2 linked regions of the Coturnix japonica genome follow. The protein of the gene in region 1 interacts with the protein of each later gene in a biochemical or structural test. Links are inferred from orthologs where the notes say so. Each region holds a gene or a part of one and is shown on either strand. Other genes may lie near its edges. The genes, in order: RACGAP1 and ECT2.

Region 1 (4,352 bases):
TGATCTTTGAGGTCCTTTTCAACCCAGGCCATTCTATGATTCTTCTTGCCTGCAAACCTACCGTCTTTGATACGAAGTCATGCAGCCTCACTCCCCCGTTGCTCTGTGGGGTGACAGAACCATTGCTCTCTGATTTGGATTCCACCTGCTTAAAGCCTAAGCTTGTCTCACTGCTCCAAGGCTGCAAAGGACCTAGAAAACAGAAGAGGAGCATTGTCTAGATGGGAACCGTACCCTAGTGCATTCCGTGCTCCAGACAACATGCACTACAAATCAGAGGCAGCAGCTTAAGTGGTGGAGCATAGGAAATTACAATGACAGGACACCCTCCAGCCTGCTAAGCACTGATTTAGGACAACAAGCTGACACCTACCACTCTTTCTCTGGCTTCTCAGGCTGTAGGGCACAGTCTGAATGGTAGAGATGGCTTCAATAGGACCACCATCACTGGGAACCATGAAAGTCGTCTTTGCCACTATGGATTCATTTCCCTGTAGCAAGAAGTGTGTTGTTGGTGACAGCAATGCTGACAGGACAAGGATTTAAGTCTGTTGGCCCTGGAAGCAGGTGTGCACTGTGGCCAACTGCTTTAAACACACACACAGCCAGCTGGGATCACTATACCTGGTCTGCTGTGGAGCCAATTGATCTGATTTTCTTCTCAGGAGCTGGTGGGCCTTCAGCATGCTGCCTGGAAGAGCGCTGAAAAGACACAGTATTTTAGTCTAAAAGGCAGGTAATACTATTAACTTAGTGATGTATTTTAACCACTCTCTTGCAGACTCAAGTTCATAACAAGATACCTGAAACTCCACTCATTATGCCCTGTGGAAAAACAGTATCAGAAATAACTTTCACACCAAATCTACACAGCAAGTCTGAATCACATCCATCAAGGTTTTGTGACTAGCACCTACCCATCACAGGTGACACCAGTTAATGCTAACAACAGTATCTATGTGAAGGGAAAGAATTGAACATACCCTCTTCTCTCTCCTCTTCAGTCTGACAGTTTTCACTGCAGAGGAATCCCAGTCCTGTGGAAAACATGCAGCACTGGTTAGCTCAGCGTAAACACCACACCACCTCTGGTCCACACCTCCATTACGTTTTACCCAATAGCACAGCAGAGATATGCAGATCAGCTCTACCAATTTAATACCACAGTAATCTAAACACAAGAGGTCTCTAGAGATTACCCCGCAGGTTTAAGATTTCATAGTTTAGAACTTGGAATTACATTACCAGTGAATCATCAGTCTTGTCAAAGCTGATGTCTGACAGAATTGAGCCAGATTCATCTATTGTAGACAGTCTAAAAACCAAGAATTAGAAGAAGCATGCATCAGTTTGGCTTTCAGGCAGCTGTGGTCCCAAAGCAACCTTAGGCAAAAGAGCTCTATTTCAAACTGGAATAAAAGTAAAACTGTTGATATGGATGCAACATGTATCTCAGACACACGCAGGCAGACCAGTAGCTGTCACTTATGCTGTTCAGACAAAACCATTCTGCCTACCTCTTGTTGCCTGAACCTCCTACAGAAACCTGTGGTTTGTTAAGGAAGGCAAGGGCAGACTTCTGTTCTTCACTTAGCTGAATGCTCCCAGATGCATCACACATGAGCAGCTCTCGAATCAGTTGTATTTGCCTCTCCTGAAAAGAAAGATAATATCAGAAGCCGTTTAATTACATGAACCAATCTCAGGTATTTGAGATACCACACAGATAGGCTCTCACAAATTGCTAAGAGCAAGTCCAGCACTCAAGCTGCTGATATCTGCAAAGCCCAGGCTCTGAAACAGCAGCCCTTCGCCTTCCAGACAAAAGCAGAAGGCCATTACAAGGAGCCAGATCAACCCATCACTGACTTGTTTTTATTCCCCCTATTGTTTCCACACCCCCCCCCCCCCGGTTAATTGCAGTTTAACCACCTTCTCTCCACATCAACTAGAGCTAACCAGTAATAAAAGAAACACTCACCAGCCTGTCACAGTCTGCTTCAGCTTTTTGCCTGCGTTTGATCTCTACATCCACTTGATTGCGCGCATGTTTCAGCTTCACGTCCAAAGCACTACGTTCAGCTTCACTTTTCATCAGCAGGTCTTTGTATCTTCCAAGCTCCTGCTCAGTTTTCTGCCACTTCCTTCGATAGTCTTCAAAGTTCTTCGCCAGCTGAATAAATTCTGGAGAAAAGATACATCACTCAGATTAAGAGAGGAGATGCAACAGCTCTCCTATAATTGAGGGCAGACTTCTAATAATTAATTAATTAAAATCTCTATTAATTGAAACATGGAGAAGCTGGCCTTGCAGCAAACCCCACTACACTCTGGATGTTCCCAAGATGTCACCACCTTTGCAGACCAAGTCTCAGCAGCAGCATCAAGCAGCAGATACCTCATGTGAGACCCTGACAAAGGCAACTTGCTTTCACCCTATGACTCCCTATTTCTCAACAACAGGAAAAAGAAACAACCTTCAAATCTGGCTGCCTGGAAGAGTGTTATTACTCAAGACCTCATCAACAGATCCTTCAATAACAGCTAGCAATGCTTGCTGCAAGAATATAAACACACAGATGCTGCTTGATGTCTCAAAACTTACGGCATTCATTCCCCTCGCTTAAAACTTCAGCCTGGCGTATGAGTTGGTCACACAAATTCCACAGGTTCCTCATTGTGGTATCCATCCTCCTGCCAAGAAAACAGAACTAAATCAACACCTCCAAATGAAAAATGCATTACCAGCCCCAAAAAAGAGAGAATTTGCTTCAGAATTCTCTTTTCTTTAGGCAAGATGTAGCAGCTGCACACACACAAAAAAAAGATGTTAGGCTTTATGAAGAGATGTGCATCTAAATTCTTAGGGGGCAAAGGCACTCAGCCCTCCAGAATTTAGTATTAGAGCAGCACAGCTTCCCAAACAGCCTCCAGTTTACTACAGAGGAGGGATCACAAACCATTTTCCTTCTGCCAGGCTGCAGGACGTGGCTCGGGCCCACTCCGGTGCTATATAGGCCACCAGAAATCTGTAAGCATTCAGAGCAACACGAGGTAAAAATAGAAGCAGCATTCAGGGGGAATTTCAATGCCGTTTTATATTTAGCTCCACTTTAAGTTACAGCTCCTGCTGCAAACGGCCTTGGAAATGCAGGCAGTCAGCACAAATCCCTCAAACAGCGAAAACAACGGCATAAACAGGAGCAGCCAAGAGGAAAGCCTCGAGCTCAGCAGCACAGAACGCAGTTCTTTAATACAGAAGGGGGCACTCAGGACAGGCTTGGTTAATGAATGAGCTCCAGGTGAAGGGGCGGCTGTGAAGGATGGCTGGGAGTGGCACCAGGAGGGGCACAACGCCCTGTTACAATGCTTGGTTATAACCCCACACACATTGGGGTTTTCTGCATGGAAAAGCAAAGCTCTGAGGACACTCCATAGCCCTGTGTCTCACTCCCCAGCACCTCAATACACCCACAGCTCCATATGGAGCCCTCACAGCCTCTTCATAGGGCACAACGGGTGGGACAGCCCTGAGGTAACAGGCCTCGGGCCTGCCCTGAGGTAACAGGCCTCGGGCCTGCCCTGAGGTAACAGGCCTCGGGCCTGCCCTGAGGTAACAGGCCTCGGGCCTACCCCGCGCCACACACACCGGGAGGCTGCCCGGCAATAGGGCCCCACCGAGCCTCCTCAGCTCAAGATCAGGGCCCTGCAGACCACCTCCCTCAGCCCAGGACCCTGCTGATGCCCCCCAATCCCATATCGAAGCCCCTTAGACCCCTCCCCAACCCGGCTTCCCCCCGCGCACTCACCCGCTCCGAGCTCCCACTCCAACAGCCGGCTTCAACTGCCCCGCGATTCGGTTTGAATCCCTGCCGCCGGCCAATCACAGGGCGCTCTCCACCCTTCTGGTTTCTGATTGGTTCTGCTCGCCGTGTGTCTGAAGCCAAATTGGCGCCATGTCTGCTAAGGGCAAAGCTTTTTCCCTTCCTCTGATTTCCGGGTTTGACAGATGGTGAAGTCGGCTAGGCGCCATGTTTACTATTGGCAGTTGCTTCCAGCCCTTGTTGCTTAGCAACAGAGCAGGCAGGGATGGCGGTGGGGCCTGGACCCCCAACCCAAGGGCTGCTCCTTCTGCATTAACCCTGAACGCAGCCATTGGCAGCACAGGGGTATTTTGGGGGAAGAAATGCTATTCTCAGGCCAAGCCCTGGCTGTAACTGTGCTAAACCAATGACACAAAGCATGGCAGGGTTCCGAGTCCCCTGTGCATTGGTGACATCAGGCATTCAATGTGCCCCAAAGCTATTTCAGATAACAAAAGCTTTCCAGAAGGCCTTTGGTTCAGTGTTGTC
Region 2 (3,813 bases), on another chromosome or scaffold:
CTTAAGAATAAAATGTTGAGAATTTAAGAAGGAGGAAGACAAAGGAAGACAATTTAATTTTTTTGGTTAGAGTAATTTCATATCAATTCATCCACATGAACTACCCATCACTGCAGCTGGCAGTCATCAACTGAAGTAGTTTAACACATGGTGTGACTTATGCACCACAGTATCTATGTTGATTTATGGTACTTCAGCTTCCAAATATAAGTTTAACTGCACGTTAAGCTTACATTACTACTATTAATAGCCAGTTTTAGAAATGACTATTTACATGCTTTATTAAGTATCCAGATTCCTGCCTTATGAAGTGGATGTTGTGGTCTGTGAAGACAATGTTAACTCACATCTAACAGATTTTTATAATTGTTACATTAAGTGGGTGATCTCAAGACAAACACGTGAAGCTGTAGCCTTGTTGATATGAATTGTTCTCTCATTTGAACCTCAGTTACACTTGTACTTAAGACAACAAAACTGTCTTCAGAACAAGCTTTTCTAGCTGTTCATGTATGTATCTGAAGCACACAAGTGAAATTTTCTTGAACTATGCTTGTTTCAGTAATTGGTCTTGCTGATTGCTATTAAGTGTGATTAACTCTTAGAAAGAAGTATGCTTCATGTAAGACAAGCCACTTCTAATCATGCCAAAAGCAGGATTATCTTGGTTTTAAATACCTTGATCAAACATACAAAAAAAAAAAACCAAAAACTAGATTACCATTTAGTAGTAGAACAACACTAGGCAACCTTTGAACAGGACGGATAAGTAGTTCAGCTAGGCTTTGACGACCACATTCTGGTTTAGCTTGGTTTATCTACAAGAAAAGGGGGGGAAAAAGGAAATAGTTCTTATTTTTCCAACTAAAAGGGAAGTGTTATATCTTCCAAGACCAGCATTGCAGAAGTTTCCCCAGAGTCTTTCAAAACAGGTACACAGTGGTTAAGCAATCACATTAGAAGGCATTCAAATCTAGATAGTGTTTATCACTCATCTTTTCAAAACAATTCAACTGCCCATATTACCAACTTCTCAGACTTTGTTCCAGATGTTAAGGCATACTGAGACAGGTGAGCTGGTTGCATGCTTTATCATTTCCCCATCATTTAATTATTAATATGCAGAAATAGTCCTTAATATCTCAGAAAACAAGAACTGGGATCTTTTAGCTTGATTGTTTTGGGGTTTGGTTTGTTTTTTTAAGATATGCTCATTAGATGCAGAAGATTTAAAGCTACGCTGAACTAACAGTCAACTATACAGGTTTATCTAGAACCCTGGGTGTATAAAGACTCCTCTACAGACAACTTTCCCTTTGAAGATAGCCTTCTCTTAAATCCTCTTCTCATTAGCCACAGGAATAGTGAGACAGTGAGACATTCTACCTCCTTGGAACTTCATTTCTGCAACAGTTTTCCCAAAATAGCTTTTAACTTGCAAGTCTTCAGCACAAGGATGGGGATCAATAAAGAAAAAAAGGTATGTGTTTGGGAGACAAATAAGTTTTTCAGCATATAATCAAACTAGCTTAGAAGCTGTTACAGACAAGGAACTTGAATCTCTTAGTAAAGAGACTCCTGAGAAACTTAAGGGATTGAAGTTCAAATCCTTCCTATTCAACAATCCTTCAGGTTCTTAAAATTTCAAGTTCTTCATCAACTGCATTAAATAGTTTACTTCATGATAGTTGCCACATTCACACAGCTTCAAGCAAAACACATACCTTCAGGAAGGCATGAAACCTTGGCTTCTGTTTTTCACATCTAGTAATAGTTTCCTTGCTCATTTCAAAGAAGTTCACAAATGGTGGATATGTTTTCAACAAGTCTTTTGACTGAAAAACAAACAACTGTAAGAGCTCTGCTTTACATATGATGTAGCATTGCACATATGTCTATACACCCCGAGCTGCTCAAAGGGACATTTTAATGAAGTATAAAGCATTGTAAACCTGTGCGTGCTCACATAACAAGTTAGGACATTTTTGCATGCCAAATGTTCAAGACTGAAGGCTGCTTATGAAATACAGACTGCTCTCAAGTACAAATGTGATAATCTAGAAGCCACTGAGCAGATCTTTCAAGCAGAGGAGATTCTTATCTAACAAGATACTTTCAGTGAAAGTTTGGGAAATTCTAGATATCTTCACCAGCATGTGCAATCACCTTTAGGAAAGAATGGCATTAAATCACCATAAGCAATACCTCAGATCAAGAGCGTTTGAATTCAAAACGTTCTTTGCCTCAGCATGATTAAGGCAGAAAAAGCACAAGATAAGTATCAGGCTTACTATGTTAAAAAGTACTTCAGTCCCAGATCTAGCTTTCATGTTCTGTACATTATGTACTCGTGAAAAATAAGCAGTCATTATTCACACATTTTAAGTCTTCAAGGAAAAGTGCAAGTGCCTTCAAAAAGTTAACTTCTTAATTCCATATTATTGAAAGGAGGCAGAAGATCACTAAAATTACAGTAAGAGTTTCTTCTACCATTTAAGTAAAAAATGTCTGTAGCGCTGCAAATTGAAGGCTGCTTTTAATTACACCCATCTGAAGTTTTAATCCATAATGCAAACAGACAGATGCAGGCTGACAGGGATTACTTACACAAAGTATATCACTTAACTCAGCTAAGAAGTCTAAACAGAAGATACAATAACACGAGTCAGTGTTCTTGCTTACTCAGTAGTGCTATGCTTGTGTTTGTTAGATCCTACAGTGGGTTTTCTGTAAGATAATATCTCACTATAGTTCAAATGCATAAAAACAGAAACTTACATATTTAAGAAAGATATCACCAATACTTTTGCTTTCAGTCCAGTTCACCATAAGATCTTCCAGGTCTTCCTATAGGTTAGGCGCAAGGATGGGAGAAGAAAAGAACATGAGTGACAACTGCATAAAGCTTTAAGATGGTACCAGTGCTCTGCTAAACACACATAGTCAGCACAAACACATAATAAAACAGGCAGTCCTAAAACCCACACAACTTCACAGTAAACCTCTTAAGTTTATCAAGAGATGATAGCAAAACTCCTGATTTACCAAATATACATTTTTGAATCAATAGAAGCAGAGTCTAATGATGTGTCTGAACTAGTTAGCTCTGTAACAAAAACGGCATAATAGCAGTTAGAATTAAATGAGAATTAGCATAGGTTTCCCCAACTAGGTGCACCAAGGGTTAAGAAGAGTAAGAGCAAGCTGTTAAGCACCTATCAGCTTGATAAGGATCAAGCTTATTTACTGTCAGCTAATAACAGGGACAAGACAGTACAGCTGAAGTTCAGGATTCCCTTTGAGAGGTTTCATCACTATTCTCCATTTGTATCTGCTACTTATCTTCATTACACCAAAGCTGAAGAAAGACAGACAACCGCTGTACTTAATTCTGAGTACAGCTCACGAATGGCAGTATTAGTTACATATAACACTCAGACTTCAGGTACTTAAGAACTTCATTTATAAATTAAAAGTATATTTCAGATTTGCTCTTAATTCACCCTAATGATTATGTATCCATTCAGTAGCTATGGCTTAACACAAACAGAACTTAAAGTTTGCATCATATCTTCCTGTGCGGGGGGAAATTACAGTTTACCTTGATTTTAGTGTGTACATCAAGAATATCTGGAATGCTGCCAAATATAGTCTTAATCTCTTCCTGTGCAAGTATTGGTCCTCCAAGTTGTCCCTCCTTCTCCAACGGAACTTGAAATAACTGATGTGTTAGACAAAGAGTCATTACATCTTCCATGCATTGTGTATGAAATAGTTATGAAAACAATGGTGTTGTCTTCCAGATCATACTTT

What was found.
Region 2: the proteins of RACGAP1 (region 1) and ECT2 form a complex in vitro, tested with the Homo sapiens proteins (3 studies listed by BioGRID and IntAct, with this or other methods). The link is inferred for Coturnix japonica from reciprocal best matches to the Homo sapiens genes RACGAP1 and ECT2.

Annotation. Positions count from the first base shown.
Region 1 is NC_029544.1:383,703-388,054, reverse strand, and holds the start of RACGAP1 (rac GTPase-activating protein 1), read right to left. Parts: upstream 3,057-4,352; 5' UTR 2,961-3,056; intron 2,695-2,960; 5' UTR 2,691-2,694; coding exon 2,606-2,690; intron 2,185-2,605; coding exon 1,982-2,184; intron 1,655-1,981; coding exon 1,518-1,654; intron 1,316-1,517; coding exon 1,246-1,315; intron 1,038-1,245; coding exon 984-1,037; intron 703-983; coding exon 625-702; intron 492-624; coding exon 374-491; intron 193-373; coding exon 62-192; intron 1-61.
Region 2 is NC_029524.1:16,991,851-16,995,663, forward strand, and holds part of ECT2 (protein ECT2), read right to left. Parts: intron 3,722-3,813; coding exon 3,602-3,721; intron 2,848-3,601; coding exon 2,779-2,847; intron 1,836-2,778; coding exon 1,725-1,835; intron 819-1,724; coding exon 722-818; intron 1-721. UniProt on the Homo sapiens protein: Guanine nucleotide exchange factor (GEF) that catalyzes the exchange of GDP for GTP. Promotes guanine nucleotide exchange on the Rho family members of small GTPases, like RHOA, RHOC, RAC1 and CDC42.